2 linked regions of the Drosophila melanogaster genome follow. Changing the gene in region 2 together with the main gene of any one other region gives a genetic interaction. Each region holds a gene or a part of one and is shown on either strand. Other genes may lie near its edges.

The links. A genetic interaction does not mean that the proteins touch.
Region 1: of DopEcR (region 2) and rut, changing one suppresses a phenotype caused by changing the other (phenotypic suppression), as found in Drosophila melanogaster (one study listed by BioGRID).

Annotation. Positions count from the first base shown.
Region 1 is NC_004354.4:14,822,158-14,830,184, forward strand, and holds the start of rut (rutabaga), read right to left. Parts: upstream 3,917-8,027; 5' UTR 3,805-3,916; intron 3,749-3,804; exon of another isoform or gene 3,589-3,748; intron 2,771-3,588; 5' UTR 2,632-2,770; intron 1-2,631. Other genes in the region: CG14408 (uncharacterized protein), read right to left, coding at 5,631-5,874, 6,979-8,027. UniProt on the Drosophila melanogaster protein: This is a membrane-bound, calmodulin-sensitive adenylyl cyclase. Inactivation of this cyclase leads to a learning and memory defect.
Region 2 is NT_037436.4:4,374,356-4,381,903, forward strand, and holds the start of DopEcR (Dopamine/Ecdysteroid receptor), read right to left. Parts: upstream 6,033-7,548; 5' UTR 5,576-6,032; intron 5,245-5,575; exon of another isoform or gene 5,242-5,244; 5' UTR 5,066-5,241; intron 3,645-5,065; exon of another isoform or gene 3,013-3,644; intron 1-3,012. Other genes in the region: CG32240 (uncharacterized protein), read right to left, coding at 6,573-6,771, 6,835-6,972, 7,031-7,131.

The DNA of each region.
Region 1 (8,027 bases), on a different chromosome or scaffold from region 2:
AAACAGGGTTCACAAATTTCACATGATAACTCTAAGTTGTTTAGAAGACTTTGATCACTAAACATATTCTTTCGTTTTATTTCTAATAATTTGCCATCGCTTATATGGCCAAACCTCTCATGCCATAAACGAAAATTATTTTTATGCTTAGCATTTATAGAATATGCTTGAAAATTGATCACAGGTACATTGTTTAACATACCTGAATTTTTGACAACCATTAACCCATTTTTCGAAATGGTTACACCGCTTTTGTCAAATTCGATCGACATTCCTGCCTCTTGGAGACGCTTTACGGACATCAAATTACCAGCAGCTTCCTTACAAAAGAGTACATCCTCCAGTGTAATCTCATGGTCATTCCGTAGTCGGACAATACCACGCTTAGTGGCATAAATAAATTCGCCTTGCTTGGCCACTGCAATCTTAAGTGGAGGCACAACCTCCACACTGTCGGTATACAGCGACTCATCATTTATAAGATGGTCACTAGCACCAGAATCAAGGACAAACCCGCAGTTGTCCATCACTGAAGTATTATTCACTTCTTTTACCATAAACGCAATGCCGTGTGATGTTGCAGTTTGAACTTGTTTTTCATTTTCTTTATTTTTATTATTTAATATTCTTTTATAATGGAAACAATCTTTTTTAATGTGGCCTTCTCTGCCACAGTGGTGACACTTGACTTTATACTTTGAATTTCCCTTGAATATTTTCTTTGGTTTAGTTACCCGATTTTTAAACAAATTATTTTTATAAGTGTTATTATTGTTGTGCACGATCGCGTTCATAACTTTCTTGCTTGTATCGTTGTGGTCATTTTTAATTTTAATTTCTTGATCCAGCAATCTATTTTTCACAAACGCCAATGTCAAATTTTCTTCAGATAATGTCTCTATCGCTGTAATAATTCCATCGTAACACGAAGGCAATGTGATCAGTAGATGAGAAATTTTATCCATCTCTTCTATTTTTGCACCAGCTGCCAACAATTCACTTATAAGTTCGTCAAAAATATGAAAATGGCTTAATAGTGACATCTCACTCGATAGCTTCAGAGAAAGCAAACGTTTTCGCAGCGCCAGTTGCGACGCCAAACTTTTTCGTTCATAAACGGCGTCCAAATTCTCAAGAATCTGACGCGCCGTAATGTCGCTTGTTGCGAAATTTAAAAACGAGTCGCTTAGGTACTCTATTATTGTACTTTTTGCACAACGCTCTGCCTTTTTCCAGGAGTCATCTACCTCGTTAGGCATTAAACCATCAACTACTTTAAGCACATCTTGCTCGGCTAAAAGAGCCCTAATTCTAAATTTCCAAATCGCGTACTTCTCGCCATCAAACGGCTTAATATTACGTTTAGCCTTGTCCATTTTTCACTCAAATTCTGAGAAGGAAATAATTTCACAAGAATGTGAAAAAAAAAGCTATTTCACAAGAATGTGAAAAAAATGCTATTTCACAATTTATTTTCACAATCTTTAATTCACAATTTAATTGTTTATTAGGCATGGACTGGGCCCATAACCTGTTGTAATTTATAATTTATATTTCCTTTCTTAATAAATAAATAAATAGTCAAGTTTATGTTTGAGTTTTATGATTTATATTTTAAGTTATTTCAACTGCAACACCAGCACCACGACCTACTCACAGCAAAAAACGTACAAGAAGGAAAGAAGGAATAAAAAGAGTGGTATTCTCTTACAATATGTTTTATGGCATAAAAGGTGTGGCCATTCATATCAAATATAAAGTAGTGTTGTTTAACGTTATTTTTGTAGGTTGAATAGTATATTCCAACAAACACAAATATGAAAAGTCGGCGGGGCGAAAAGAAAACACATGTGTCAGCTGCTGCAGCACACACAATTTAAAACTATAATATTAAAGGCAATTTGTTAAAAGGGTTGCAATTATTTATAGCCATCGCCCTAATGATTCAGATAATAAATGAGCTAAATAATTCGAAATCCCTAGTGAAAATCTATGAATAGAAGCCATTTAAACTGGCTTAGAAGCTACAATTATCTAGTCAAGTCATTAGTTAGTCAAATACACAGTTAAGTAGTTGTTATTAATAGCCATAAATGTATGATCATCGTAAAAATGATTGGTCATAAACTAAAAGTCTTACTTTTTATCGAAACAATAAAAAGTAAGCTAATAACGATCAGCAGTTAAAGTTGACGGATTTGTGTTATATCCAACTGGAATCTAGTTAAACAACAATTTAAAGATAATAATTGTTTATGAAAAACGCTATAAGTAGTTAGTACTAATATTAATTTTATTTTCCTTTTTTGGATAAAATTTCAGTTCTACATATATAATAATATTCATGTTATTTAAATAGGATTTTCGATTATATTTTTCATTCTATTTTTGCTTTCTTTCTTTCTTTCTTTCTTTTCAATAAAATATTAAATTTTATATACATGTATTGAGAAAATATAATATTTACTTTACTCATATTCTAATTTGTATTAAATATTAAAATGAATAAAAACGTTTCAACCTTCTCCCGATTTCATGTGTATCTTATCCATAACTACGTATATATGTACTTCAGAGATGCAAAAGTATCTTAGTATCTCAAACTGAATTTCGTCAAAGGAAAACACTTACCCAAAAAGCAACAACGATTGTGTTGCAAGTTGACTGCTGCTGCTTCTTCTTCTTCTGTTACTTTTTTGCCTCCTTGTTCTGTATCTCTTGTTGTTGTTGTTGTTATTATTGTTGTTGTAGGTCCAAGATGCATAGATGGCTGAGCGGAGAGTAAGAGGGTGCGAATGAGACAGCGATAGGGAGCGAGTGAGAGAGCAAGCGAGTTGTAATTGAATGTTTGGCTCTTAATTAAAACAAGAATTGTGACAGCCACGCTTTAAGGCGGGGGGCGTGGCAAGCCCAAGCCTAAGCCCACTCCCACACACTCTCTCTCTCTCTCTCTCCCTTGGTTATTGCTTTTCTTTGCTCTCTCTCTTCGCGTGCCCTTTTTGATTATCTAATCCTTGGGGCAGGTGACATTTTGCAACTTTTGGGGAAGCGGAAGTTGTTGCCGTTTTCTTGTGCTGCCGCCGCTGCCAATACCGTTATCGATTTTTTGCGGCAGCTTGTTGTTGTTGTTGTTGCCGCTGCTGCCGCCGCCGTAAGCCGAAAAAAGGCGTGTGTGTGGCAAAGAGACAGAGGAACGTGGAGAAGAGAGGGAAAAGCCAGTGGCAAAGCGCATCCATGGACGGCACACACACACACACACACACACACACGCATTGGCATGATGAGAAGAGTGGGGGAGTGTGGAAAACGGGGAGAGAGGAGAGCCGAAAAGGCCAAAGCGAAACGAGTTAAGACGCAAGACAATGCAGATAAAAGCGGCAACAACGACAACAACAAACACGGCCAAGAACGGCAACAACAACCACAACAGCAGAAGGCGTCGCGGTGCGCTCTTCTTCTTGCTCTCCTTCTTTATCATCTGCTGGCAATGCATTCGTGTTTTTTGTTGTTTTTTGGGTTTTCGGTTTTTCTTGTTGGTTTTCTTTTATTATTATTTTTTTTTTTTTTTTGGAAAACTTGAATCTTTACCAGCTGCGTTTGGAGTTTTCCTGCCACTTCTTAAATGCGCGCGCGCATTTCCCACGACAAAAAGAAAACAAACGACCAGCGAGACACACAAAGTGGCACTTTATAGAACGAAAAAAAAAGTAGAATGTGCAAATACACCAGCACCGAAAAAAAAAAAGAAGAACAACAGTTAAGATCGCCGCGTTATTTAACCGCTTTTCCTTCCACACAACTCACGACGCGATTTCTTCGGATTGTTTGGCTTGGTTTGTTTGGTTTGTTCGGTTTCTCTTCGGCTCCGCTCGCTTCGGATTTGGTCTGTTCTCAGCAAAGCGTTGCAGCCAAACTAAAGCGTCCGTCGGCGGTTCGTAGCGAACCACTGCGAACCGAGTGGCACGAAGCTGCACGAAGTTGCACGAAGCGTTCGTCGGCGTGCAGCGAAAGCACTATCGTAGAGATGGGGCGCCACTGCTTGCGATAGCCCAATCGATATATCGTATATCAGCTGGTGTGATTTTAAATCCTATTATCAGCGTTATTTACAATATATACCAATTTCAAATTGATAGATGGAGATCGAACGTTGTGGTTTTTAAAGTTCCTGATCTTAATGCGTACATGTTCACTTATATGCAACTTGTATGGCGAATAAAAGTTGAAATGCAAAAGCTTTCAAAAGTCTATCGCCATGTCTTACATATTATCAGCAATCAGCTGGTTTTCTAGGTACTGTGTTATTATAGATTACTTATTGATTTTGAATATAGTTTTTAATATTAAGTTAAAATATACACCAATTAATCAAAAATTTTAAATGGGATTTGAGTAAAAATTAATGGGCATAATCATAGAATAAGTTTTTTATTTGGTAGGAAATACTAAACTAGAAAATACCAAAAGGCTGAAGAATGGTGGTCAAATGAAATTTCTAAAATAGAAAACCGTTAAAAGGCAATGCTATATTATTTAATAACATAACACAAACTAGTCAATTTTAAAGTTGATTTTTTACGTATTATAACAAAGAATGAAACTAAAGCTTTATAGTTACCAATTAAAAATGGCAGCCCCATTTTATTCACTAACTGCCCAGTTTTCGAAATGAAACATTCAGTTTTGTATAATACACTTCATATAATTTTATGCAGGTATTTATATATGCAATTATTTAACACTCAGTGGCGCAAACAGAAGAAAACCGAAGAATTCGCGGACAATTTGCAAGTCGCTTGTATTTCAAATGTCTCCATAAAGTAATATTGCTGATTCGGCTTTTGGTGCGAATTGTCAACGCACTCCTCGTTTTCTTTCAGTGCACACCACATTTACCATTATTTGTACACTCTTATGTATTTTTGTGGGTTTCTTGTAAATCATTTTGCCGAATATTTAGCTCGTACACACTAAAACTATTAAACTGATTTCGTTTTTGTTGACTAGCATTTAGTTATTTGCTTTTTGTAAACAGCATAAAATGTAACTTTCTTAATTATGTATATGCCACTACATAAACTAAATTATTGCACATCATTTATTTAGGATTAGAACATAGTTTGCCACACGTGCCTGAGTGCGTTGGTGTGGATTTAAAAAGATTCCTGCTGGCTCATCCATCATCTCGCATCCATTTCGATCCACCTGGGATTGATGTCTTTTTGTATTTGAATGATATGTACGCTACGCTTTTGACTAATTGGATTTTTTGGATCGATCGTAAGTATGCCCTAATACTCATAGAGTAAAATTTTGCCATAATTTTCATATTTGTATGCGTGCAGTGATGGGGGAAGTTGTGTCAGCGGCCAAACAAGAGTTTTCTAAATTGAAGAAAGGTACTTTCGAAAATTCCGTTACAAAAATGCTCAAAAATAGTGCATAGTTTTGAAACTTTAAATACTTCTTGTGGCACTTTCGATCATTATCTATGAACTATATTGCAATTATTCATTTAAAAGTGACTTTTCCCATCACCGCATTCATGTGTGTGTGTGTGTGTGTGTGTGATGGTGAGGCGGTTTTGGTGTTGATTTTTTTTTCTAAGTGTAGGGTATTTCGCTGTCGGCTCAAAACAGCAAGGCTCCAACCACGTTTAGTGCCTGGTGGTGTTGCTTTTGTTGTTGCTTCTGCTGCTGATTCTGTTGTTGTTGTTGCTGTTGCTGTTGATGTTGGTGTGTGTGGTACATGCTTGTGGTTGTTGTTGGCGATTTGAGTTCCTCCACTATAATGGCACCATTCTCATCCACCAAGTGATTTAATAGTAAATTCTCAACCTGCTCATCGGACAGTAACTCTTTTGGCTCTGAAGATCTGCAAAGTTAGTTAGTTTTGTATGTAATAGCTTTGCATAGTTAAAACTGAACGAAAAACACAGAACTGAGATTCGATAGATAGATAATTGGGTACACATATGATATACAGTGGGTGATAGGACAGGTAAGCAATTACAACACTTAAACAAAAAAAAGTCGATGTTATCCGACTTACAGATAACCGGTACTCCAAGTTCTACAAGTTCATTTAAAAACAATGAAGAAAATAATACAAATTGGCAAATAATACACTTTGTGTATACCTTTATATACTTATGATCCATTATAGTATAATATACTTCACAGACTTGGAAAACTAATTTCAAAAGACTCTTATTAAAAAGTTTTCAATTGAAATAATAAGATTTAAGTTCATGGGCAGATCCCCTAAGATAACTTTCAAATTCAACTAAACTCAAAAGTGGTAATTTTGAAAACTAGAGTACAGGCTATTCAACGTAGGTACATTCAATTAGACAGGGATAGCGATATGAAGATGACTCGGCTTAGAGGGAGAAGGCAATAGCGATTCAAAGCGATTAATGAGTGGGAAAAAGGTAACGTTTAGAAACAAAAACACAACAGATATTTCTCGATTTTGGTTTTTGCGTTTTGAGCAGTACATACAGAATTTGAGGTTAAAGCGAGTGTGCGTTCGTGCTTTTGTTGTTGTTGTTGTTGTTCTTGTTGTTGCTGTTGTTGTTGTAGTTGTTGCAGTTAGTTTTTTTTTGAAAGATATATTTTTGTGAGATTGAAAGTAGCAAAAGCAGAGACCAAATCAAAGCAGCCAATTCGTTCATATTAGTAATTAGTAAATTGAGTACTATTTTATAAATTTTGCAGTTGGTTGGTTGGTGGTTCATTTTTGTAGTTGGTTGGTTGGTTGGATTAGATGGGTGCAAAAATTGCGCTGATCATCGCTGTTTCGGTTCGGGTATACATATATTTTTTCGAAATTCAAATTCAAATTCAAATTCAAATTCGGTTTCGGAATCGAAATCCGATTTCTGAGTTCTGAGTTCAAATGAGCTTGGCAAGGCGGCTGTGCAGCGAGTTGAGCAGACTACGACCGCCACCCTTTGCCCCATTACCGTCTACTGACCTGCTGAAGAGGAAAAAATCACCGGCACCGCCGCCAGATCCTGAACCGGAACCTGCTGCACCGGTTGCACTGCCGGTTCCGCCGGATGCTCCGCCACCGCTCAGCGCCAGTGCGTCCGTTGTGCCGCCGAGCAGTGCATCACCTTCGGCTGCACAATCGCCGGACATCTCCGATTCGCTGTTGCGTCGCTCCAGGCTGCGTCCCACCTTCTGGAAGCCGTAGCTAAACACATCCTTCACCTTGTCGCCGGCATCGATTAGCAGATCGAGGCTCTGGCGACGTCCGCTGCCCTTGAAGCTATTCGAGCGGGACAACCACTGGCTGAGGCTCTGCTTGCGGCTCATCTGCTGGCCACCGCCGCTGGATGCACTGCTATCGTCCTGGAATATCGTCGTGCAGGTCACCTTGCGCTTGGGCTCATCGGACGACGAGGTCGAGTGCTGGGACTGGGCATCTGCATCGAGATGATTCCTGGCCAGGCCGAGACCCAAGCCGCCGGACATGCCGCCCGTGGAATCCAGGCCCTGCTGCTCGAGCAGCGACTGATTGGAGTAGCTGGAACTGGTGCTATCCGAATGCGATAGCCGGATCTCCGTCCACTGCTCAATGTCGTTGTCCGCCGGAGCACCGCCAGCCGAAGTTGAGACGGAAGCGGATCCCGATGCCAGAGATCCGCTGCCCGACTTCACCTCGTATGGAGCGTGCAGGCCCAGCGGTCCCAATCCGGCTTCCCCATCCGCCGCAGCACCTGTGCTGGCCGACTTGTGCATGCCACCGGCCAGTTTCTGCGGGAAGGTGAGCACCGCCTCGAAATCGGTTAGCAGGTGGGGGCACTCGTGGTGACCCAGACGCTCGGGCATGCGCAGGTACTCCTCCTCCTCCTCCTCCGCCTCCGCCTCCACGTGCTTCTGCTCCTCGGCGGCTGCCTTCGCCTCGAGATCCTGGCGATTGGCAGCAGTTCCGCAGGAGCTCCTCTCCAGACCCGCCGTCAACGTGTCCACGGCATCCACCTGACGCAGCATGGCCTCGTAGTTGAGCAGATTATTGCG
Region 2 (7,548 bases):
GGTGGCAGGCTGACAAGGCTGGCAAGGCTGCTGCGGATGGGTGCCACGTCATCGTCGCCATTCACGTGGCTGCGTCTTTACATAAGCATGACCTCACCTTGGCTTTTCTATTCATTTACATTTACATTTTCATTTTCATTTTCGCAGCACAGCAGCCAGTTGACAATTGGTGTTTCGTGCAACGTATTTACATGGCGCCACCTGTTTTGCTCAGTGCATCTGCTGCGGCGACTGCATAATTTATGCTTACGCATGTCAAGTGTCGCATATGCCTGGAAATGCTCGTCCTTCGGGGGGGCGGAGGAGTCGCCGAAGGCGGTGGCGCCGGGCTAGACTTGGCAGCTCCTGTCACTCAGTAGCTTAAGGACTTTGCAGGCGGTCCTGCTGCCTGTTGCTTTGCCCCACGCTCACCGAGCCAAACTCTTTGGCCACTAACTTTTGTCAACCGAAAAATGCCTGCAGGCAAATTGCAATCAAAGTGGCAGAACGCTAGAAACTTTGCCGTAAAATGCAACAGTTCGACCACAAAAACAATTTGGGAAACTTCAATTCCAAAAAATTAGATACTGAATAGCATTGATTGAACTGCAATGTTCGTAGATATGTGGAAACAAAGTTTAAAAAGTAATAAAGAATCGATTAAATTGATTTAATGAAAATGTTAGCTCATCCAAAAGTGTTCGTTCTCTATACATTGGCATAATAATAATAATAATAGGCAGCCGAAAAGAGTAATTTGGCCAAGGAACGTCGTAAAAAGAAATCCAATTTGCCTGGGAAATGCCCTGAATATTTTGCGTCCTCAAAATAAATGACGGCGGGGGGTGCGTGATTGGGCCAACTTAAATTCACGTGCTACCCGCTGTTATGGCCATAAACCGCATTGTGAAATGCCGTACCACATGTCGTATACGCAATGCTTTTTATTTGGGCCAATTTTGCGTTGCGCGAGGGGCAGTTAGAGAGAGAGAGAGAGAGAGGGGGCGTGGTTCGGGCCAAGGGCAAACAGCGACTTGGCGACGCGCTCGTGCTTAGTTTTATATTGTTCTATTTCCCACTGGATTTTCCTAGCGCTCTAACTCTGATTTCCCTTTGGGCGAAGGTTCTATTGTATTTTTTTTTTTTTTTTGGAAATATCTTGAATATGGCAAAATGCAATGGTTTGCAGATGTTCTACAATTGGCAAGGTCACAGTCATGGGCTGGCATTTTCCTTTCGTTTCCAACCACAAGCCCAACACTCGACAACGTGACGTATGCGTAATAAATAAGACTGGCGGCACTCGGCTCTAAGGACAATTGTATTGGCTCCTGATACCGGCTATATCCTACCCCCACATCAACACACACATACAGACATAACACACACACACACATCACTGGAACAATCGATCAATAAAAGAAAAAACCCAACACGAAATTCATTTCAATGCTGCGACTTGACATTCAGTCAAGGCGTTCATTGTGGCACTGGCAATAGCAAAGCCAGTCGTTCAATCAATACGGCAATGCATCAATTTGTCATCCCCGCCATGGCTCCTTTTCACTGCATTGTTGTTGTTGCTTTGCTGGTTTATTAAATGCAGCAACTTGTTTATTTGTTGCTGTTATTCGCTGTCTGATTGATAAGCAAACGGGGGGAATCAACGAATTCAGCCAATAACGAAGGGCGGGATCATGACTATGCGGTTTCTATGCACGTACACAGAGGAAAAAATGTACAAAATTAATTTATATAGCATACTGTTAGCTGGTCAACAATTTTAAATTATATTTTACTAATATAACTTCCAGTCCTAAATATTTTTCTACAAGTATAACATTACAGTAGCATTACTGATATATGACTTACTCACTGCCCTAGTTTTTTTTCAGTGCACCAAAGGCTTATTGGCTTAATGTGCCAGCTGACGCTAAAAGAGCTGGCAAGTCTGGCCGGGATTCAGTCGGAAGCTCTGAGGACGGTTTGACATTTAAGCAATTTGTTCGCAGCAGCTGCCAAATGCACACTTATTAACGTGTGTATCTGTGAACGCGTTTTGTATCTGTATCTGCATCTGTCTCTATTCCTGGGGTAACAAATAGAAAGCTACTCCTTGCATTTGAAATGAGGGAAGGGCATGGAAATGGGAATGCCCGGCGGCAATTAGTTGGCACTAGCCCAGGGCCACGCCCATCATAAATATATAAATCAAGGCGGTCACAGCCCACAACTAATTAGACGATGGCCTGGACAAACAGAGAGTTGCGATTTGTGTGTGCGTGGAAGGAGGTAAAAAGGCATGGCGGGGGGATCGGAAAAAAACGCGGGGCGGGAAATCGGGTGCGAGGGCGGAAAGTTGAGAGCGAAAAATAGGGGAGTGTTGGAGAATTTAGGCTGAATGGGTGTGTCCACTTAGGCCGACTATCGACCAGCGTTTGTTTTGTTTTCCTTTCATTGGGCTAAATGTTGTTTTTGTGAGCGGAAAAACAAATTGAGATAATTACCAAATAATAGATTAGAACCATCTATAAAAGTTTAAACTGTGTCGCAGAGTATTTGCTCGTCAATAGCAGACTAGAATTTCATCATACATATTTGTTATGTTAAATTTGTTGTTCTCTTAAGATATTTAAATATAGAAACACTTGTTTGGTTTGTCTCATTTGCTTTGCCAGCTATTTGTTGTCGAACCTAAAAGCCGCCAAAAAAAAAAAACACTTTTACTTCCAAAATTTTACTGGTGTCTTCCACAAAATGTATAAAAAACACGGCATATACGCGACACGTTGTGGTCATAAATCAAAAGAGATATAAATGTGTGCAAATAAATTCTTTGCAGACCGGATTGGAAAAAGATATATTAATTACTTAAACTTGAATACTTCACAGTAAAGCAATAAATAAAATATATAATTCCAAAAAGCAATATTTTTAAGTAGATCATTTTTGGGTAAAAGGATTTTATCTGCGAAGATAAAGTCGAATTAGAGTCCAATTAAAATTTGCTGCCAATGTTGATGGTACCGTTTTATTTCATGGCTAAAACGGCTCACATTTCCCGCCAACAAGCACCATCAGCACCCTCGAATTTTCCCGGACTTTCTTTCATATGCAAATGTGTGGGCAGCAGCAGCTGCGGCATTTTGCTTCCTTTATCGGGCTAATTGAATACGTGTGTCGAAACACAAAACGGCGAAGAAAATGGTTGGCGGACAATCGCCATTGCACGTCACGAGTCATAAATGCAAAGCGGAGAAAGCAGTGAAAGCGGAGAAAGCCAGAGCAGCGTCATTTGCCATGTAAATTAGACAGCGGCCAGCCTTGAAGTGTGCTATGGAAATTGCACTCGCTTGCCGGACATGCGGCGAATGTTGCATGCTGCTCGTCGCACGTTGCACGTCGCACGGTGCCAGTTGTTAGTTGTGCCTGGTCTCTGGTTTCTGGTTTCTGTTTTCCGGCTGGTCATGTGTGAAAAATGGCAACTGTGTCAGCGCCTACACGACCGCGTCAATTGCATTATTCAGAAACTGAAACTGTGTTGCAAGAACAAAAGCCACTTGCGATGGGTGCACCAATGAGTCAGAAGGGGGTGGCACGCTGGGCGGCGGTGGGTGACCCTTAATTATGCAAAAGACGGCAACGACCTTGAAGCTGCCAATTGCAGCGCACGTAATTAAAGACGAGCAACGAAACGCAACTCAACACAACGGGTCTGTTGCCACAGTGTTCTCTGCGTAAAGCGAATGTGTAGGTATCCAATAATAATAAGATATTGTATCTTTAAGATTCTTAGATCTAAAATATAGATTGAATGGTAATTTTTTACTTATGTATTTCTAATACGTTATATGATCTATACGCGGAGATACAGTTCTCTGTAATTATATCCCCAATTTGTTGCAGTGGGTCTATCCATATCCTGGTGATTCGAATTAATTAAAGCCAGGAGCGACCACTGTACGTTTCCAAACCCATTTTCCAGCCCTTTGGGACAACGTGTGAAATTTCCCATTGTGTGATCGATAAAATGGCCATGTGAGCGGGTAGGGGGCGGTGGGAGGCGGCAGACTGTGCGGTGTTGTCGCGTCCTTGAAGGCAAATTTACGACAATATAAACAACTTGGCAGCGAAAGAGTCCAAGCTCGAAACCCGGTCCTTGCCGATAAGGATAAGGATACCAATAAGGATACGGGGCATTCGCTTGGCGCGTAATTTTATGACACAGCAAAAGCTATCGACGGCTGCCAGAAGACAAATTGCCTATAAAACGACAAAGTCAATAAAATGGTGGGGAAAAAAAAAAAACGGAGAAGCGTGTAACGTGTGACCGAGTTACAGATACATACATACATATGCAGACATATACTGCAAATCCTGTTTGCCACACATAAATTGAAATTTTCGCAAACGAAATTTGCGTGGAAAATGATGCGCTCAGGCCGAGCTTTTCAGTATTTGCACAAAGTCTTTTGGCTTTGGCTAATCCCCAACGAATGCTGCCATTCTTTGCATTGAGCTTTCCAACTGAAATTCTTCGTTTTTTTGTGCTAAACTTTGCCTATTTTCGTATCTCTACATCAACACCGAAGGACCGAGCATAAGGGATATGAGAAGAACAGCACAGCATTTCCGATAGGAGAAGTGGAGGTTCAAGTGCACTGCGAAAAAAATATCCCAATATAAATTTCAAGTCTTTAGACTATTTAAATTTTTTTTAACGGTACAGCTTGTTTCACTCCATAGTCTACTACACAGCTATATAGATTAGACACTCGCAAAAAGGTGCATTATAGCCAAGTAATTGTCAAAAAAACACGTCTAATGTTATCTTAAATAAATTATCAAAAAAAATTAAAAATTCTCAAAGTTCTCTTCTTTTTTTTTAAGTGTCAGCACTTTCCTTTCGACCATTACTTCTAGAGTTTCGCTCTTTTCGGGGTTGTTTATGTTTTGGTTCGCTCTTTCGCGTTCCCTCTCGCTCCCTGTTTCTTCCCATCTATCTTCGCTTTTTTTTTGTGTTGAGGTAGGATGCGTCTGGAGCAAAGCTCGACTTGATGCTCCCTGCCACCGAAAAATTGCTCACCTGAGACTGCTCGTGTTGAGAACCTTTGCCTTGACATTGCTCAGTTTTTCCAGTTGATCGGTTGAGTATTAAGTTGATTTCTTGTATAATATTTAATGGGTATTTATTACATTTTTTCTTGAACACTTTGTCTTTATCACTTTGTTTGCTAACTCTTTGGCTGCAACAGGCAAGAACTGTAAAATATCTAGATGAATGTGGGCTTAAGATATATCTAACCAAGTCGGTGGCCCTCAAAGGAACTTTAAGCAGCCCGTGTATTTTTCACTAATAAATCAATCAAATAATATTTTAATGCATGCATTAGGTGGTGTTGATTTAAATGGATTTTCTTTTCAGATAAGATAATTTATAAGGGGCACGATTTATGGCTTTGGTGTCGCGATAATAATATATCTTTCAAACTTTGTCACTTTGCACTGTCGAACTTTCTTGCTATGGTTAACTGAATTTCCATTTCCAATTTCCCGATTTTCGGGGCACATGCAACATTAATTTTTTTCGCTTTACTTGTTGGCTTTTCCGTGGGCTGCTGATTTTCTGCTTAGCCTTCAACACACATACAGCCAAAGGCGTTCTCACACAGATACCAGTACACACAGGACCCTCTCACAGACACATGTGCGCAGGTGTGTGCCTTGATTTTTCAATTATCCTCAAGCTCGTAATTTGCACAATTTAATTGAATTCACTTTGCCATTCGAATTTTCAAATTTTCAAATATTCCATTTTTGATTGTGATTGGCATTGGTATGCAATGAAAATTAAGGCCAGCCGAAAAGTGTGTTTGCTGGCCGCGTGTTGGTGTGTGTGTGTGTGTGCGGGCGTGTGTTGGTGTTGTGTCTGCTGTGTGTGTGTGCTTCCACCGTTTCCAACAACAACAACCACTGAACGCGCTGCTGCTGCTGCCGCTGAATCTTTTCGATGCGTGCGTAGATGCGACGCGCTCACTGTCTAACTGGCAACTGTTTTCCGTTTTTCCATCGCTTTTCTTCTCTTCTGCTAACGCCCCGACAACTCGGCGAACTCTCTCTCGCACGATAGAGAGGGAGAGAGAGATCTGAGAGAGAGGGCGGCTGGAAATGGAAATGGAAAAGCAGCAACAGGAAGCGAGAGAAAGCGAAGCTTTCGCCAGCTGAAAGCTCGGCAAACGCACATGGCGTTTGTTTATATTTGTGGCAGGTAAAAATAGCACTGCATATTTTTAGGCACCGCCAACCAGAATCTCCCACTGCGCATGACCCAATTTTAGTTGGCCAAAAGCATGAGCCTGGTTAAACTAATTAATTTATCTAGTTGCTCCCACTCTAGTTTGCAATTGGTATCTATTATCTCCAAGTTCTCATCTCTAAGCTATTTTTTAAAGAAATAATATTAGTAGATAGGAAATTAAATAAGTGAGAGCACTTCATTGCATTTAAGACTACTTATGAAAATAAATTTAATTTTCGCAGTATTTATTCTATTAATTTTGGATTCAAATCTTTTGGTTTTACCTCCCTGATCACTAATCTTCTCCAGCACTTGGTTCGGCCACCTGCTGCTGATCGGCCAAGTTATGCCTGAGTGGATATAGCTGCTCCATGTGTTCTATAAAGGGTCGAATACCATCCGGATTCTTCATGTACTTGGCCACGCTGAGGATGATGTGGCGGTAGATCTGGTGATCCCGATAGGCCGCATTCGGTCGTCGCTTTTGTGGCGGTCTTAAATGGTGTATAAATGATAAATTAACACAAACTGTTAAATTTAAATCATAACTATTATACCGCTCTTGAGCTCTTTGAATCACCCGTCGTCGTCGCACTGATTCAGTTCTTCGGCAGCGCTCACAATAAGCGAAATATGCACAAGTGATGATTACCAGTGCGGAAAGTGCGTAGATGAGCCAACTCCAGCTGAGAACCCTATATGAAAAATGGTATATAGTAACATAAAGTAAAAGTGATCCTATCTGCGTGTTACGTCACAAATGTAGCATTCAAATCCCTCCAGATGGGCGAGATCTGCTCCAGCTGGGTCTTTTTGGCATCCCTCCTCCAGAACACAAATTGAGGCATCATCATTGGCCTGATCGACTGGCTGCGACTGGCTACCTTTTGAAGACCGGATAAAATTTTGAAAATCAGCTAACTAGTGTTATGCGTTGGTTTTGATTCTTTGAAATTTAAAAATAATACTAAATCTCATGTTATTCGAGCTTTGAGTGTTGAGGAAAAGCAGTGCTGACTTAATACATAATATAGTAAGCATTTTATCAAAAGAATGATTTGCTGCAGTAGCTTTGGAAAAGTATCAATTAAATTATTGCCTCATTAATGCGAAAGCATGATCAATGCATCGATGCCAGATGCTTATGCTGCTTATCCTTAACAACCTGGAAGTTAAGGCTTAAAATGGCGCCAAGGTCGAAGATCGTCGAACATTCTACGATCGATTGCCCGGCGGGATCATCATTTAACTAATTCAAGTTTGCCACATTG